2 linked regions of the Tamandua tetradactyla genome follow. The protein of the gene in region 2 purifies or fractionates together with the protein of the main gene of each other region. This does not show direct contact. Links are inferred from orthologs where the notes say so. Each region holds a gene or a part of one and is shown on either strand. Other genes may lie near its edges. The genes, in order: ATG9A and AP1M1.

Region 1 (8,929 bases), on a different chromosome or scaffold from region 2:
TGCGCAGGGCATGCAGGTAGAAGGAATGGATCTCCCAGTAGCAGCAAATATTATAGATGAACTTGATAAGCCGGTGGATCCAAAAGACACCAGCAATGACCAGGATAGTGATAAGGGAGCCATTTTCCTGAATCCTGGTGGAAAAAGAAGAGGAAGAGGTGTGGACCTTCACATGCTGCTATTCTGCTAGGCCCAGCCTGAGTCTGTGTTCTGGGGTAGAGTTGCTGCCTCATATCCACTCCGTTCCCCATCTGTTAGCACAACCATAGGCTCTGGTGCCCTCTGACCTAAAACCCTTACCTGGCACTACAGACTTGGGCAGGCAAAAAGGCATCTGGCAGAGTGACCTTGACAGGCTCAGTAGGATGAAGACTGTGGTTCACCATCTTGTTGGCAAATAGGATGTCGTAGTCCACACAGCTGACCAGGAAAGTGGTGAAGGCAACCACAAAGAGGAACTGCCTGGGTGGTTGGAAGAGGGGTTATAGACCAAGAGTCAGGGGCATCAGTAAAATAAAGTAGGAAAAGAGAAGAGTCCGTGATCAGCAGAACAAGATTGGAGAATAGCCTCTGGGAAATAGAAGGGACTGGAGAACCCCCAAGGGGCCTTCCCTACTGCTCAGCCCCAGGGACCTTCTCAGGCCCAAACCAGCTTCTTCTTCTTCTTCTTTTTTTTTTTTTGCTCTTAGCCTGAGGCTACACAGAATCAGCCCGCTTTCCTCACCTCATGTAATCTCTGCCATCACCCACAGGACTGTTTCAAAGGTTTTAGGATTGTGGTCCCTGGTCTCCAGTCCCTGATTCCCTTTTGCGATGGTACTTAGAAGTCTTTTGAGGATTTGGACTCTTTTTTTATAAGAGAGAGCTTTCCTAACCCCTTTCCATTGGGCAATGCCATAAAACTTCCTTCCTCCTAGAAGTTTTCTGCCCAGCAGCCTGCCTAAGATGCAACCCAGGCAGAACAGAAACTGTCTCTGAGACCTCCTGATAGGACCATGTCCATTCAATTGGAGCTCTGATGCAATGATCAAGGTTTGCGTTCTCTTTATGGCAGAGCTAGGACTTGGAAAACTTTTCTTATAGGAGAGATAAGAAAAGGGAAGCTGTAAGTTTAGGTGCCACATACAGTTCCTGAACAATAAAGATCTGCAGTTTTGATACTGGGACAGGTTGCACTACCAGGTGAGGTCAGGGGATGAGTGCAAAGAGAGACTGAGAGGTAGTCCTTTCCCAGCTCAACCACCTCTTCTTATACTTACATAAGCTCAAAGATCTCCCCGATGAGCATACAAGTGAAGCCATTTTTCTGATGTAGATTATAAACGTATAATTGTTAAGAAATAGTGGTTGGTAGAGACAGCAGTTAAGAGCACAAACTTTGGTGACTTTCTATGATTATCTAGTTGTTTGACTTCGACCAAGTTACTTAATCTCTCTAAGCTTTCTTCTGCAGTGGTATTGTTGGGAATAATAATACCTGTCTTATAGGATTATTAGGTATATAAGATAATGCATGTAAAGTATTTAACTCAGAGCTGACAAAGAATGAGTCAAAAGACATATAATTATTACAATTATTAGCATCCCATCAAAAAGGAAGATCACCCTTAGAAAATTTCCTTATAAACTAACACCACAAAGTGCAAGGCACACAGCTCTCAAAATATGGGGTATCATTATTTTTAACAATCATTATTTCCCCAACCTCTTTCAGCCTCAGGAAGGGATTAGAGTAAGTGTCTAACTCTAGTCCCTAGAATCTCTTTTAGGGATTAGAGTCTCACCTACCCCATCTTCCCATCAGGGACCTGGCCTAAAGAGGAGCTAAAGGCCCCAGAGTTCCAATGCAAAGACAAAGGATATTCGAGAAAAGAAGAGGTCAAGGTTTTCGATGTGGTGCCAAGGTGCTGTGGGCACAGGGGCAGGTATGTCAGAGCCCTGAAGGTAATTAGGCCCCTTGCTCCCTCAGTGTTCAGCCCCCAGAGCCCCCACCTCCTGGTCCCAGCTGTGGTTGTCCCATCCAAGAACTCACACTTGCTCCCCTCAGGGACGTGCACCAACAGATCCTCTTCCCCGGGGGGTGAATCGCTGTAGGAGGCCTCTAGGCGCTGGTATTCTGTGTCAAATTGCGCCATCACCACCTTCCCCTGTCCACTTTGTCCACCTGCCAGTACGTGGGAAAAAGCACCCTGGTTCAGACCCAGGCACTGCCTGCCTATGGGCCTGGCCTACTATGCCAAAAGGAGTGAGAAAGAATCATTGGGCTTGGTCTCTACTACCAGCCTCCTTGGCCCAAAGGCAGAGGAGAAGAAATAACCCAAGAAGAGCAGCAAGCTCTGGGCTTGAGAGGCCTTAACTCTGGTCAGTTATTCCCAGTTATTGAATGTCTGCTGCTGCCTCGCTGGCCTGAAGCCAGACTCCACCACTGTAGAGGGCTGTTTCAGTTTCTATTCACTGTTGAGAAGGGTCCCCCCACCCCCGCCCTCCAGGAGAAACCCTGGTATCCCCAAGAGATTAGCAGGTTGGAAGCCCTCTGTAAATAAAGGTTTGAGATAAGCACATGGCCCTACCAGCTCCATGGACAGGGTCTGCACCACTCCAGCCCTCGATGCCCTGGCTCGGCAGCTGCTGGGGGAGAAGGTGTCAGGCCCCAGCGAGTGGAAAGTGTGTATAGAAAGGGATCCAACTCTATCACCCCCTCACCCTCCATTAAGAGGAGGCCAAACATGGGGCAGGGAGGCTGCAAGTGGGAAAGAGGATCCCAAGAAATGACTTACTGATCCTATAGAGTTTGAGTCAGTGCAGACCTGAGGTCAGGCAGCCTCCTCTGGACTGTTTCCCCCTTGCCCCACCTCAGCCTTAGAAATCAGTCCTCTTAGGGTCCACAAAACCCCAGGTCCAAAATCCAAAGAGTATTTTCTGAAGAGGACCTTTCTGGCCAACCCCTTCCCCTGCTTCCTTAGTACCAGAGACCCAAGAGGCAGGCATGGATCCTAGGTGGGAAATTTTCATTGGATCACTGTGGCCCCCTGATCCTGAGCCAATTAGTGGTTCGCTAGGACCCTGAAGCCAGGCGTGGTCTTGGTGGCACTCACCCAGTCCGTACAGACCCTGGGGGCCAAGGCTCTCTGCCCAGCCTGGCCCCGGTGGGATTCCTTGGATTAGTGAGAGCCCTGGCTCCGGAGAAGCTGACCAAGCCCTCAGGGAACTCACCACTCAACGGGTCAGCGCTGACCCCCGGCCCATCGAGCCCCGGCCGGGTGTGGGCTTGGGGTTTTCTGCGGATGTCGGAGGGATCAAGCCAGTCCTACAGCCGATACCTGGGGTGGGTGCCTTCCCATACCCAGCCGCTACGACCCGAGACCAGCGCTCCCAGGGTCGCCCGGCCCCAGGCCAAGCGCTCAGCTTATAACAGCGGACAACCTCCCGCGCGGCCACGCCGCCAAAGCGCGCCCCCGCCCGCGCGCTCCCGCTATCAAAACATTCCAATTGCGCGTTCCCGCCCCGCCCGAGCAGCCCCTACCCCCGTTACCCGCCACGAGATCACTTAGGGCTGACCGGGTACCCCTGGCCGGGCCCGGGCCCTGGGAGTCCAGATACCGGTCTTGCGTTTCACCTCAGGAACGGTGACCAGGGTGATTACTGGGCTCGATCGGCTCGGCTCGGTTCAACCCGGAGCGCTAGGCCCGGCGGCTGCCACTTACTGTCACCCTCAACTAGCCTGGCCAATGAGCATGAGGGGCGGAGACGCTGCGGCCAATTGTTGGCTCTGGGGGCGGGACTAAAGGTTCGAGGCGGGCCTTGGGCAGTCTGACGACCAATACCACGTTCTACGTGAGACGGGGTTCTGGTGCGGCCGCCTTCGTTTGTCCCCTTCGCTGCTCCGTAGTGACGAGACTGTTGCGGTGTCACAGAAATCCAGTTCGGAATTGTAGTTGTGAGTACTCTCGGCTCACCCAAGGATTTTGGGACAGCTGCTGAAGGCGTGGACGAGTCTACCCAGTTCAGTCGTTGCCGGAGCTCGGCTGTCGAGTAACAAAGAGAGGTCTGTTAGGGAACCTTAAGTGATATTAACTCTGTTAGACTCGATTTGAGAACTGGGTTCCCCATTTCACTCGTGTGGTCCGAGACTTGGGCGTTTGAAAAAGCAGGCTGGGGTCACGTATCTGTCCCCAGAATTGGGCCGTGAGTACGGAGGTGAAGGCCAAGGGGCCTCGCGGCATGGGAGAGACCAAGGCAGTTAATTAGGTGATCGGGCAATAGTATCTCGCCTTGGGGAGCTCTGATCCTAACGCCTTTCTGCTCCAGGAGCTTCTTCCAGATAATTTCTGCTCAGTTATGTCGCCCGCTCCAGCTGCATCCCTGGGTCCTGCGTCGGTCTCCCTGTTTGACCTCAACGCTGATGCGCCTGTCCTTCAGGGCCTGAGCCTGGTGAGCCACTCTCTCGGGGAGGCTCTGGCACAGGCTCTGCCTACTACTTCCTGTTCAGGTATCCGGGGAGGTTTGGGGTGGACCTACGAGGACCCATGAAGTTTTCTTTGGAACATGTTGCTCCTCTAGGGAACGCATTCTTTTTAGTGTTCCTCAGCTCTGTAGCACACATTCACTTCTCTTTCTACTGGATGAAATGTACCTCTTTAGTTAATCTCTGGATAGTTTCCAACACAGACCTCTGAATTGTTACCAAACAAGTCTCTTGTCATTCCTTATATTTGATAACATTAACACCACTGCCTTCAAAACACATTTGAAAATTCCAAGATACATTCCAAATTTTAACTGAACTCCAGTCATCTTTTGTTCTTACTAAATACAAAACAAAAAACAAAAACAAGCCCCAAGCCTTATGTATTTGGTTTTGTACGTTTGAGTTCATCTGTGGCTACATATTTTCTTGTACCTCACAGTTTAAGAGAACTGATGCTTACTGAAATTATTTTCTACAGGATTCCTCCAGTTCCTTTGTTTCATGTCTGTACAGTGTTTCATTTATATTCATTTTTCCGTACATCCTTTCAGAAGCATATTTATCATATAAGGTGATTGCCAGTTCATTTATTTCATGATTACTAGATTGTAAATTTCTTGAGGATAGGGACATGTCATTTCTTCCTTTTGTATTTCCTTCTGCTTTATATATCAGCAGTTACTGTATATATATATATATAATTCCAGGAACTATGGCTTTCTTCTCCCTTTCTCCTTTTACCTTCCCCTTATTAGGTTCAGGAAAGAGTGGGAGCCCAGAAAGAAAGCCCATCCAGAGTCCTCCTGATATTTCAGAGAAGTTATTTTGTTCAACCTGTGAGCAGACCTTCCAGAACCATCAGGAACAGGTAAAGGGCTAGAGTTCAAAGCTAGATGTTGGTGTTATAGGTATAGTGGTGGGTGGGGAGATGTAGATAACTTGTTTGTCACAGTAATATCCTGCTTTGACTGTGGTGTTACTTAGTCATTACTGATCTTGGCCAGCGTGGGAGCATCTCCACCTTCTGCTTCCCTCTTTGCCTCCTACCAGAGGGAACATTACAAGCTCGACTGGCATCGGTTTAACCTAAAGCAGCGTCTCAAGGACAAGCCCCCCCTGTCAGCCCTGGACTTTGAAAAGCAGAGCTCTGGAGGTGATGCCTGGTGGGAGACCTGTGTGGGTGTAGGATGTGGGGGTGGCAGAAGGCCCTCATAAGGAGCTTGATGAAAGGTTAAAGGTTCCAAACTTGAATTTCTCATGTTGTCGTCCTCAGGAGATCTTTCCAGCATCTCAGGATCAGAAGACTCAGACTCACCCAGTAAGGAGGACTTGCAGATACTGGATGAAGAGAGGGCTGAATTTGAGAAGCCTAACAGACCCAAAGGCTTCCACCCCCATAGGATTCTTTTCCAAAATGCCAAGGGCCAGTTCCTCTCTGCCTACCGCTGTGTCCTAGGCCCTCACCAGGCAAGTGACAGCACAGGTTGTGTGGTCAACCCCACTAGATTTTCCCTCAGCCCAGTCCCTTGTTTCTTCCCTTCCTTCCTAACTGGGTTTAGGTATCACATTTGAGAGCACAGTCTTGGGTTGAACTGACCCAAATCTTGGAAGGGTCAATGTAATGGAGTTAAATTTGGAAACAGACTTATCTAGGGTTGAATTGTGATTCTACCACTTGATCTTAGTTACCTCTACAAGCCTCAGATTTCCTTATTTGTAAAATGGACACAAGCCTCAGGGTGGTTTTACTAAATGAGATAAGGTATGTAAAGTACCTGGCACTGGTGCTTTGAAATCTTTTATTAGTTTCTTGTTCTCAATGAATGTAACAGGTAGAATGTTTGTGCTCTCCTTTGTCATCCAGGTGCCCCCTGAAGAGGCAGAACTGCTGCTACAGAACCTGCAAAGTGGAGGCCCTGCCTACTGTGTGGTGCTTATGGCTGCAGCTGGACACTTCGCTGGTGCCATTTTCCAAGGGTGAGAGGGTGCTGCATGGGGTGAGAATGGAACAGAGCCTGTTAGCACCAGCTGGTGCCCAGTACTGAGTCTTGTCTCTGCAGAAGAGAAGTGGTGACACACAAAACCTTTCACCGTTACACTGTGCGGGCCAAGCGAGGTACAGCCCAGGGGCTTCAGGATGCCCGGGGTGGGACTTCCCGTTCTGCTGGAGCAAACTTGAGGCGCTACAATGAAGCCACATTATATAAAGTGAGTTAGGCCTCCCAGGTCCAGTGTTCCTCTGATCCACTTTTCTTTCCCTCTCAGTTCAACTCATTAAATACTACATTTAGGAGGTTTTTGATCCTATATCCTTCCAGGCTTTATTTCTGGGTAGACACAGGTAGAATAGGGATCTCCAGGGGCTTTAGTCCTCTCACTCTTTCTCGCTCTTTGTTATCTCATGCCTCCTACTTCCTGCACATGATCTGTGGGTCATTTTTTGATTGGAGGTGAAAAAATATCAAGTGAAGCTATGCAGGGCTGAGTTATTCTCTCCTCTAGGAGGTTCGTGACCTGCTAACAGGGCCAGACTGGGCTAAGGCACTGGAGGAAGCTGGGACAATACTGCTGCGTGCCCCCAGCTCTGGCCGATCCTTGTTCTTTGGAGGCCGTGGAGCACCCCTGCAACGGGAGGATCCCCGACTTTGGGATATCCCCCTCGCCACCCGCAGGCCCACCTTCCGAGAGCTACAGCGTGTGCTCCATAAGCTTACCACCTTGCACGTCCATGGTAAGCCTTAGACCCAGTTCCCCAGACTCCCTAGACCTTCTTGTACTTTCCAGCCTAAGCCTCAGGTTCTCGTTTGTGTATCCAGAGAATACTCTAGCCCTCAAACTGCAGCCCAATGCACATCTTCATTGAAAGAGACCTGGGCTGGCTTCTCTTCAGCAAAGCTCGAGAAAGATCTTTTTGCATTATGACAGGAGAAGACCCCCGGAAGATAGTCAGATTGGACTCACCTCAGACACACTGGAAGACAGTGAGAGAGGAGAGGAAGAAAGCTTCTGAAGAAGAAAGAAGAAAGGTCCCCAGTGATGGAAATGAAGCACTTGAGCAGAATGCAGAATTTCCCAAACAGGGTTTGAGCACCATCTGGCAATTATCAAATACCTCTCTAGTGTCTACTCTGATAACTTACCCACTTCCCCATTTAAAACACATGCATACAATAGCGTCTGCAGAAATGGGGTATGTCATAGCTGTTACTGAGACTTGTTTAGTGGTCTTTTTTCCCAATCTGTTATCTCTTATAGATCTCTATAGTATTTGGAATAGTCTTGACATGGAGTAGATACTTGAATCTCACATAGTTTTACCTGTCCTTTTGGATCCTGTGATTTTGAGCTAAGAGCCACTTCCCTGGCTATAGACCCTTGACCTGCACAGCTGTCACTGCTTCCATGGTTTCCTTTATTGTGTACCATCCTAGGGCTATTCATAGGGAAAGCCCAGGGACTTTTGTTCTTATATATCGTCTTCTGGGCCTGTCCTCATCTGGAACGAGAGCCTGATTTCTGCGTGTGAACTAATGGACTCAGTTCTTGATATGCTACTTTATTTATCTTGGGTGACAAATAAAAACAATTTCATTTCAGGATCATCTGGATTATCTCTTTATATACATTCTTTGCATCTGGGGTAACCATCATCCTTCCACCTTCTGCTTATCCCTTAGATGGATCTAATATTTCAATTTTCTTCCCAGGTACAGGGTTGGAGGGAGAAGACAGCTTCCAGGTGGAGTTGGAACTAGTAGAGTTGACACTGGGGACCCTAGGTCTTCGTGAATTTGAAGTATTGCCTAAGCGGAGCCGGAAGAAAAGGAATAAGAAGGACAGAAACCACGATCTGGGGGCTGGGACACATATGACTCTTCCTCAGCAACCTCATGGTGATGAGCCCCTCATACGGTTGGCGCAGGCAGATACAGCCTCCTTGGGACCTTCACTGGATGAGGCCAAGGCCTCTGGTCAGCCAGAGCTCTGGGATGTGCTTTTAGCTGCTTGCCAAGCCGGAGATGTTGGCATGGTGAAGCTCCAGCTAGCTACCAACTCCTCAGACCCTGGAGTTACATCTCTGCTCAGTGCCCCCTTGGGCTCCAGTGGCTTTACCCTCCTACATGCAGCATCTGTAGCTGGGAGAAGCTCAGTGGTTCGCCTGCTGTTGGAAGCAGGTGCCGACCCCACTGTGCAGTAAGTGAGGGCCCCCTTCCCGAGCCATTTTGGGTATAGAGAAGATGAGCTGGAGTCTAAGTCAGCACTGGCTACTTGACAGTACTCCCTTGGTCTGGTTAGGTGATACTGGGAAAGACAAGAGTCAAGTTGAACCAGTATTTGGGGGGTTTCGCACCTAGGGACTCCTGTGCCCGGCCACCGTATACAGTTGCAGCAGACAAAACAACACGTAATGAATTCCGAAGGTTCATGGAGAAGAATCCAGATGCTTATGATTACAAAAAG
Region 2 (8,866 bases):
AAAGGCAGAGGGCGAGGGTGGGCGAGGTGGGCGAGGGTGGACAACGGTCAGGGTGGGTGAAGACAGGCGATGGCGAGGGTGGGCGAGGGTGAGAGCAGGTGAGGGAGGGCGAGGGCAAGGGCAAGAGTGGGTGAGGACAAGTGAGGGTGAGAGTGGTTAAAGACAGGTGACGGCGAGGGTGGGCAAGGGTGAAAGCAGGCGAGGGTGAGAGTAGGGGAGGGTAAGAGCAGGTGAGGGCAAGAGTGGGACCCTTCCTCTCCCAATCTCCCCTTCGTGGAGGAGCCCTGCACCCCCTTCCTGTGGCGGCCTGGCAGGACCCCAGCACCCTGGCCAAGAGGTGCCGCCGCCTGCCCCCACACACCACTAGCCACACCCCGACGTGGGACTGCTGCTTTTACAGATGGACACATCAGGTCCCGCAACGAGTACAGGTACGCGGGTCGGGACCCTAAGGCCACCCCATGCTCAACTCTGCTCTCCTGGTTCCTGAGGGCCTCCTTCTCCCCAGTTTCCAATTCCTGGGGTCCTCAGAGGCTTCAGGAAGAACAGGAAGCCACTGGCAGGCCACGTGTGCCCTGTGCCAAGCCTAGGGACATAGCAGTGACCAGGGCAAACCAAGGCCCTTCCTGAGGCCTGAGCAGCAAGGCAGGAGTGGCGTGGCTGGTCCACAGAGGACTGAGAGCAACGACCAGGAGGCCCAAAGCAGGAGGCTGGATTGACTTGGGGGAGGTGGGCTACGCACTGGAGAGATAGCCCCTGACCCCCCGCAGCTCTTCCCCAGAGAGCAAGAGGGTCTTGGAAAGAAGTCAGACTGGGTCCCTGCCTGCGTGCATCTCCCAGCCCCTCCGCCCCTCTCCCTACTCTCCCCCTGGCACGGGGCCTCGGCACTTGCAGTTCCCTCTGCCTGGAAGGCTTGGCCCTGCACCTCTGCGCAGACACACTTCCTCCCAGAGGCCTCCCCACCACCCCACCCTATCGTCACCGAGGCCGACACGCATTCACGTGTCTTTGCCTCTCGCTCCCTGAGACCAGCGATCACGCCACCTCACCCATGCTGGCGGGCAGCATGCCCAGCCCACAGCGGGGGCTCGCCAGCATCTGGGGAGGAGGAAAAGGAGCTGGAGTGACGTCTGGGTATCTGGCGTGACGTCTGGGTATCTGGCATGTGCAGCAGTGTCACCCACTGAGAGGGACACCGGGTACAATGGGGAGCTGGTTTTGGAAAAGGCCAAGTTTGGAGGACAGGGTGAGAGCTGCGGTGTGAATCTGAGGGTAATTAACAGGCTACCAGGGCGAGAAGGTAGCGGAGGCTGGTCCCGTTGGGCCCCGTCACCCAAGGGGAGGCAGACAGAAGGGGCTGGCCAGGAACAGCGAGGAGAACAGAAGGAGACCCAAAGGGCACAGCCCAGAAACCAAGGGAAGCGGTCTGGATGGGAGAGCGGTCCTGCTGAGGAAGTCAGATGAAGGTGGCGAAGTGTCCCTGGAGGGCTTTCCCCAGCCACGGTTGGTAACTTTGGGGTCCAAGGCCTGGCCTGCAGACAGATGCATGGTTGAGAACTTCTTCATGTGCCACTGACTTACTCTTGATTAAATTCGTTCTGTTCTGGAGGCAAACTTCTAAACTGTGAGGTCCACAGGGAGTGATGACACCAGGCGCCTGGGCTGTGAGAAGGGGACCCGCAGTGGCCCGGGGAGCCCCCCGAGAGGTGAGTCTCCCCGTGTTCCTCCTGAAATGCTCGTCTTGCAGAGGCTCTGCTGCCTGTGCTGACAGCTGCCCACCTCCACTCCTGCCTGGCCATCCTCACCACCCACGGCCCTCCCAGAACCAGGCTCTGGGCTCCAGCGTTGCCCAGACTTCTGGCTTGCAGCCCTAGCAGGCAGCTCCACTGGGACACTTCCTCACCTAACTGCCACCTGGTTCATCTTTCCAAACCCAGCCCCAGCATCTCCCCTCCACCACAGGCCTCTTAAACCTCTCCCTTCCTGCCAGCCAAAGAACAGGTGGACAACCACATTCCCTTGGGCATGTCCCTGCCATTGTGGCTGCCCAGACCCGACTATGTGGTGATGTCTCTGCTCCTACATGTGACCCCTGCCCCATTAGACAGCAAAGTCCACGGGGGGGGGGGGGGGCTGAGCCCATCTCATACATTCACATTCACTCTGTTGAGTCTGCAGTGACCCCATGAAGACTCGCCTGACCAACGAGGAAAGCGAGGCTCAGAAAGGAGAAGGCACTTGCCCAAGGTCACACAGCTCAGCCCTAATTCCTCAGCCACAGTGAGGTAGTCACACCAATGGGTCCCTTGACCCTGGCACTGGACTTGGTGCAAGCTGCATGCTCACACAACATTTGCTTTAGGAATGAGCCAGCTGAAACAGGCAGCCTGCTGGCACTGCTGGTGACAAGGGGGCTCGTACTACAGGCAGTCAGGGAATACTGCCCCTGCCAGCCCCAGCTGTGCTTTGTCTTCCCTGCCTCTGGGTCAGCCAAGGAAGGAAGCCCAACCACGGGATCCACAAGTTGTTGACTCTGGGTGGCATCCAAGGCGGTCAGCTCAGGCAAGCCCAGTTAAAGTGACTTCAGGAAAAGTGCTCAGAGAGAATGGAGGGGCAGGCACCTCACCTCTTCACTCCCATGTGTTTCTGCGTGAACTCTGGCCCAGCCCCTGCACCTGACACCCACATTTCTATCACTGATTGACGTCATACTTGACCCTGGACCAGTTCTCGTGACTCTTGACTTCAGAAGTCTTTCACCGGGGTGTACGTGGGGAAAGGCAGCAGCTCTTTTGAAAGGCTTCAATGCCTCTTTTCTGTGAGAAGCTTTCTCCCAGGTCCTCCTTGTGACTAACTCCCAGGTTCTCATTACATACCCTCACTACCCCAATCCATGTTGATAGGTGCTTCTGGGAACTAACATCTGCCTCCCCCACTAGACTGAGCTCCAGAAGGACGGCGGCTACCGCCGTCTTTGCTCCAAGTCTGAGCACCCTCTCTGACATTTAGCTCAGCTGAATCAACAGATGACTCCGGGTTCCATTCTAAGTCGACCGGCCACTTCTCTGGGGCTTGGGTAACGTCATGTTTGTTCACTTCTATGCCTGACTTTCCCATCTTGCTTAAACCTCGTACTCCATCACGTGGCGTAATTCCACCTGGGACAGGCCCCGAGAAAGCGCCGGAGAAAAACCTGCAGCTGCCTCCGAGAGCGCGAGACCGGCCGAGGGTGCCCTGTCCCCGCCCCGCCTCCGCCTCCGGCCAAGGGTCGCGCGAACCATAGCCGCGGGGCCCAGCTCCCCAAGCCGGCCAGACCCGCCATATCCCCGACTTCCGGGTGCCGGGTGCCCCCCAACCGAGGCTTGAGCCCCGCCGCCAGACGCGCGAGAGATCGTGTCGGTTTCCTGCTGCCGGTTACTCGGCAACGGCAGCGGCCCACCGCGTTGCCTAGCAACAGGGCGGGGCCCATAGACCCAAGACCACCGCCCGGTTACCTGGTAACAGGGTGGGGTTCATAGGTGAGGGCCGCCGGCCTCCAGGCCTGACTCTAGGGTGGTGCCCGCTGGCTGGTTACCTAGCAACAGGGTGGGTCCCCGCTGGGCGAGGCCCCCGCCGGCTGCCTGGCAACGTGAGGGTGGGGAACCTCCATACCTTGCCCTTCAGGTCCAGCACGTAGACGGCGCTGGCTGACATGGCGGCTACCGGAGGCCTCGACAGGGGCCTCAGGTGGCGGCGGCGGCGGGGGCTGCCGGGCGTTGAGGAAGACCGGGCACGCCCCACGACGGTTCCCCTCCACTTCCGGTCCCGGGCGCCGCGCGGGGACCGTTATATCCGGTCAGGGAGCAGCTGCTGGTTCTGCGCAGGCGTAGGGCGGGGTGTGCGCAGGCGCATACGTTGATTCCGGCTCCCGCCTCCAGCATCCGGGAAGTGAGGCCCAGAGCGGCGGGCTGAAGAATCAGGGCGCCCTCTAGCGGCCTGGCTGGACGACGGCCCCAGAGCAGCTGGAAACCCCAACCCGTGCGCCGAATCAGGTGAGAGTTTCAGGTGCTGGAAGCGCCCTGCGCACAGCCCTTAGGAAGTCTAGGAAACTAAGAAATGCACAGTTTGAGAGGGAGCGAAACCTTAGGAAGTCACTACTTGTCATTGTCTCAGTTGTCGTCCATGACCTCGTTTGTGCCTGTTTTAAGTCCTGGAGTGACCTAGTGAAAACCATCCCCCTCGGAGTACAGACACAAAGTACATACGTGTTTGCATTAAGTGCAGGTTAGTGGCCATGGTGAGTGTTGCAAACTGTGGTCCCTGACAGATCAGTTGATTCACATTCCGTTTGCTTTAGGAACACTCGGGGTGTGGGGTCATGCCTGCATTCCACCCCAGTAAACCGTCCACACTGCCCTGGAGAGCCAGCCCTGCAGCCCACCTGTCAAATATCTTGTCTCTACCCTATTTCTAAGTGGGGTTTGAGGGATGGTTCTTGCCACAGTGTATTTCTATATCCTCTGCTCAGGAGAGAGATGTGTGAGGAAATCCAGAGTAGAAAACTGGATGAAGACAGCTAAGGACCCTGCAAACCTTCTGGCACAAAGGGTGTAGCAAGAAGCCGAGACAGGGGCTGGGGCACCAAATGTCTGGCAAACGAGCCCTGAAAGGAACGTGATGAGATGTCAGGGTGGTGCCTGTCTGCTGCCTAGGGAGAAAAGCAGGGTTCTGTTCAGCAAGAGTTTAAGTTAGGGACCAAAATGCAAGAAATACCTGGCCTCATACTCTGCCCAGTTTATTACAGTGTGTGTGTTTTAGTCTTTTTGTTAACCAAACTGTCCGTGCTCACTGTGGAAAACTTGGGGAAGTGCCAAAAGGAATTAAGACAAAAAAGATCACCAAGGAGAGGTGAACACAACACCTCTGGGCCTGCTGTCGGTATTGTTTAGATGTTCAAAATCAGCATCAAGAGGACTGGGAGCAAGTGATGGGACAAGTCTTTTGAGGAAATAAAAGACTCCAGGTGCCAAGAGTAACTCTCAATCAACGCTTTCTCAGTAAACAAATTACCTGTAACCCCCTTTTCTCCCTACGTGGGGGTTTTTGGGTCACATCTGAATTTCACCCTTGGTTTTATTTTATGTACTAGCTGGATAAGACTTCTGCAGTGTCACAGAAAAGACCCAACCTGTAGACCCGGGTTTTTCAAACTTTGCTGTGCATCAGGGACACCTGGGGAGCTTTGAAAAATCACAAAGATGGGTCCCCCACCCCAAGCCAATTGAAATCAGAATCTCGGGGCTGGGAGTCCAGGCATCAGTGGCTTTTACCGCACAGAATTTGAGAACCGCCATGGTGGACTCCAACAGTGGGGGCTGCTTGCCACTCACAGCTAAGAGAGGTCCCACCCACATGCTCGGGGTGTGGCCACGTGTCCTTCTCTGGACAGTGAAATACGTGGGGGGAGAGAGAGACAGATGCTGGAAGACAAAGATGCCATCTTGCACTTTCCTGTCCCAGCTGAGCAAGCTGTGACTGCGTGACCTAAACTACCCCAGCCCATGGATGAGAACGGCCCAAACAGGCACAGTCCACCCACAGAAGGGGGAGATGAGAACCCCCTGCTGTCTCAAGCCACATCTGCAGCAGTTCTTCCGCGATCCACTGACTGTGATTAACTGGACCATCTACCATCCTGCTGGAGCAGCATCCCCAGTGGTAATCAAATGGCACGGAGTTCAGACCCGCAGACTCACACTTAATAAGTGGACTTTGCTTTATTTCGTAGTTCACACATGCTGGCTCCAAGCCCAACACTTGGTTTTCCTCTTGTCACTTTGTTACTCTTTCAAATCTACCCCAACAGCAACTTCTCCCCAGTAGCACGTGGGGCGATCCTGGTCTGGTGAACGGAGACCCTCAAGGTCCTGGCTCGCCAGCGCCAGCCCCTGGGTCCTCCCATTTGACTGCACCCAGGGCTGCTGGCCCCAGGACTCTGCCTGGCCCTGTCACCCCCAAGGTGTCCTGAGGCTGGAAATGCCAACCAGGCTCCAGGCCCCATGCCAACTCTGAACAAACATAAGGGACTGCGGGGCGAGTCAGGGTTTGGGCTCCATTACAAAGAGTGGTGAGATCCATTAGCCGTGTCTGCCATGGATACCATGGCAACACCCATTAGCAGTGTCTGCAATGGGGGCACTGGCACAGAAAGGGACAAGGCAGTCTTTCCACCCTCCCCTTGGGTGGCTGCTTCCCAGGCTGGAGCTATCCAGCTGGCAAGATAGCCGAGGGGCAGCATGAAGGCCATGAGCTCTGCACAGCTTCCCAGGGTCCCAGATGGAAAGTCACAAGCCCAAGCTTAAGGGAGCTTCCAAGGGCAGCCCACCAGGGTCCATGCTGGCATCAGTTCCTTCTCTGGAGGTGGTTTTATCCAGGCAGAGAGAGCCAGCTGGCTGTCCTCAGGGGGCTGGATGCAATTCAGGGAGGGAGGTGGGAGGCGCAACATTTTCACGTGGTACTTCTACAGAAATCACCCTCACCTCTGCATAAACTTTTAAAAATTTCCAGTCCAGGAAAAAAAGGTTTATCTTCTCTGTGCTACGGAGAAGCCAACAAAAATGAGCAAAAGGACAGTCTCGTTTTAATGAGTTCCGGAGTGAAGGTATCCAAGCCTTGAAAAGCCCTGTCTCAACAGAGAAATGCAAGAGTGTGGGAAAAAGAATGTGTCCTGAAACTGCGGGGGCCGGGTGGCTACTTCGTCCAGCTGACTTTGGGAATGTCGTAGTGCTCCGTGAGCGTGTCCAGGTGTCTGTTGAAGTCCTGGGAGAGCCAAGGAACAAGCTCGTCTCAGCCCAGACCTCAGGCCCGCCCTGCCTGTCCCACACCCATCTCTCCTCTTTGAGTCCCTCCTCCCAAACCCACCCGGCCAGGTCTCACAGAGCCCGGACACTGGGGTCCCCCCTAACGAGCCGGTCACTGCCCTCCCACCAACACTCCCAGGCCCCCTCTGCCAGACTCCGGGCCCAGCTGGGACCAGCACCCAACTCACCTCCACTCTCTGCTTATGGGTTTTAGATGCTTTCTTCAGGATCCTTTCCATTTGCTGAAGAGAAAGGAGAAACGGAAGTGAATTCACAAGCTCAGCTCAGCCTGGCCAGCATGTGACAGAGGACGGGAGCCTGGAATGGCTGAAGGTCTCAGGCTGCACGTTCTGCCCCCCTCCTTCACCTTCACCCAGGCAGGTCCGAAGGGGAAGCCCAGCTCCAGTGACCACTGGGAACCTGGGTCAGTCGCCTCTGTACCAGGCCTCATGAGGGGCAGAAGAGGACACAACATCAACCAAGCACCCACCAGTGGCCGCCCTGCAGGCACCTCTACGTGTGCTTCCCAGAGGGTGTGACACTGACAGTCATCCCAGCCGGGTTTTAGGAAGGACAAGAAATGAGGACAGTAAAGGGGTCAGCCAAAGGAGCTGCCCAAATGACTGCCAGCCTCAGATACGGTCACAGCGCCTGGCTGTCCTCACGGCTACCACGATCACACTGCAGAGGTGACTCTGGGGTACAGGTCCTGCACCTTAACCGACTCCAAAACAATTTCAAACCTGAGGGGCAGTACCTGCAGGGCCAGGCAGGCCCCGGGCTGTGCTTGGCTCCCACACTGGCTAGTGTGGCGATCACAGCCGACTCGCCCGGGTGCTTCCCAGGAATCGCGCCTCGCGGCGTTCATGCTCTCATGCAGCTCCTGCCACGTGGACTCGGGCCTGGCCCCGTGACTCAGTTTACACAACAGAAGGCAATAATGCAGAAAGCAGTGCCTGGGCTGGGATGGCGCCATGAGACGCATGGGCAGTGCTGCACTCTGGGAAGCCACCCACCATGCAGGTCTTTCCGGACCTACAGGACGAGAAAGCCCAGGGAGAGAGGGGCCGTGGGGCTGTGCTCGGGGCAGATGTGTGAGTGGTGAGAGGGTCACCGTGGGCCTCCAGGGCTTCAGCCCCAGCTGCCCCTTGGCTGCGCGAGACCCCAGGCCAGACCTGCAGGACCACCTGGCTGAGAAACAACAACACAGTGCTGTCAGCTGCCACCTGTGCTCCTCCCTCCGAGGTGTCTGCGCTGCCCCATCCCTGCGTCTCCCTCCCCTCAACCATGAGCCCACAGGAAGCTGGACTCTGTTCTCACCAGGCCCCTACAAGAAGCCATGCAACTAGACCAGCTTTCACGCAATAGCAGGTGCTGAGCTGGACTCTGCCCTCCTGTAGCCAAGTTTGCTGGGTTTCCTGGTGCTGTTGGTACCCCCACTTTGTAGATGGAGGAATCAAGGACCAGGCCATGCAGCTGGAAATGGGATGGAGATGCCAAGCTGCTGCCCCCTCCACCTGGCCTGGAAGCCAGGGGGCTGTCCAGCCTCTCCTCAGTCACTCTGATCACCTGACAGGCTCCCACAGGGCCACCTCATTTCCAAGCACTGCCCACCTCCTCCACCCCACCTGCTCACCTGCCTCATCTCCCTCCCCCCTCCCCCAATCAAACAAATCCCATTTAAATGATGATAATAATTTTCCCTTGGCCCTACCCCACCTCCAGCTACCATCCCTTTACTCTGTCCCCTTCACAGCAAATCCTGCACTTATTCTCACTCCTGCCACCCCTCTACCCCCGACCCCCCAGAACCCACTCACTGGCTGCAGGGTTCCCACTGAGGACTCTCAGTGCTCTTCCCATGCAAACCCTCAGCAGCATCTCAGGTTGCCAGCCATGTCCTCCTCCTCAGAACACTTTCTCCACTAGGCTCCCGCAGATGCAGGCTCTCCTGGTTCTCCTCCTCCCTCTCTGCTGCTCCTCTGTACTTTACTCCCAACCACGCTCTAATCGTGGAGTGCAGCAGA

Evidence for each region.
Region 1: the proteins of AP1M1 (region 2) and ATG9A purify together in Homo sapiens (affinity purification with western blotting, with the first as the bait; 3 studies listed by BioGRID). This does not show direct contact. The link is inferred for Tamandua tetradactyla from reciprocal best matches to the Homo sapiens genes AP1M1 and ATG9A.

The regions. Positions count from the first base shown.
Region 1 is NC_135329.1:194,967,766-194,976,694, forward strand, and holds the start of ATG9A (autophagy-related protein 9A), read right to left. Parts: upstream 4,016-8,929; 5' UTR 3,533-4,015; intron 3,496-3,532; exon of another isoform or gene 3,214-3,495; intron 3,116-3,213; exon of another isoform or gene 3,096-3,115; intron 2,629-3,095; exon of another isoform or gene 2,571-2,628; intron 2,165-2,570; 5' UTR 2,136-2,164; coding exon 2,033-2,135; intron 1,908-2,032; coding exon 1,864-1,907; intron 1,325-1,863; coding exon 1,260-1,324; intron 463-1,259; coding exon 301-462; intron 135-300; coding exon 1-134. Other genes in the region: tRNA endonuclease ANKZF1, read left to right, coding at 4,339-4,489, 5,224-5,336, 5,519-5,621, 5,742-5,935, 6,333-6,445, 6,529-6,676, 6,971-7,199, 7,394-7,549 and 2 more. UniProt on the Homo sapiens protein: Phospholipid scramblase involved in autophagy by mediating autophagosomal membrane expansion. Cycles between the preautophagosomal structure/phagophore assembly site (PAS) and the cytoplasmic vesicle pool and supplies membrane for the growing autophagosome.
Region 2 is NC_135337.1:94,820,143-94,829,008, reverse strand, and holds the start of AP1M1 (AP-1 complex subunit mu-1), read right to left. Parts: upstream 3,826-8,866; 5' UTR 3,694-3,825; coding exon 3,652-3,693; intron 3,624-3,651; exon of another isoform or gene 3,248-3,623; intron 1-3,247. Other genes in the region: protein FAM32A, read right to left, coding at 6,730-6,798, 7,028-7,081. UniProt on the Homo sapiens protein: Subunit of clathrin-associated adaptor protein complex 1 that plays a role in protein sorting in the trans-Golgi network (TGN) and endosomes.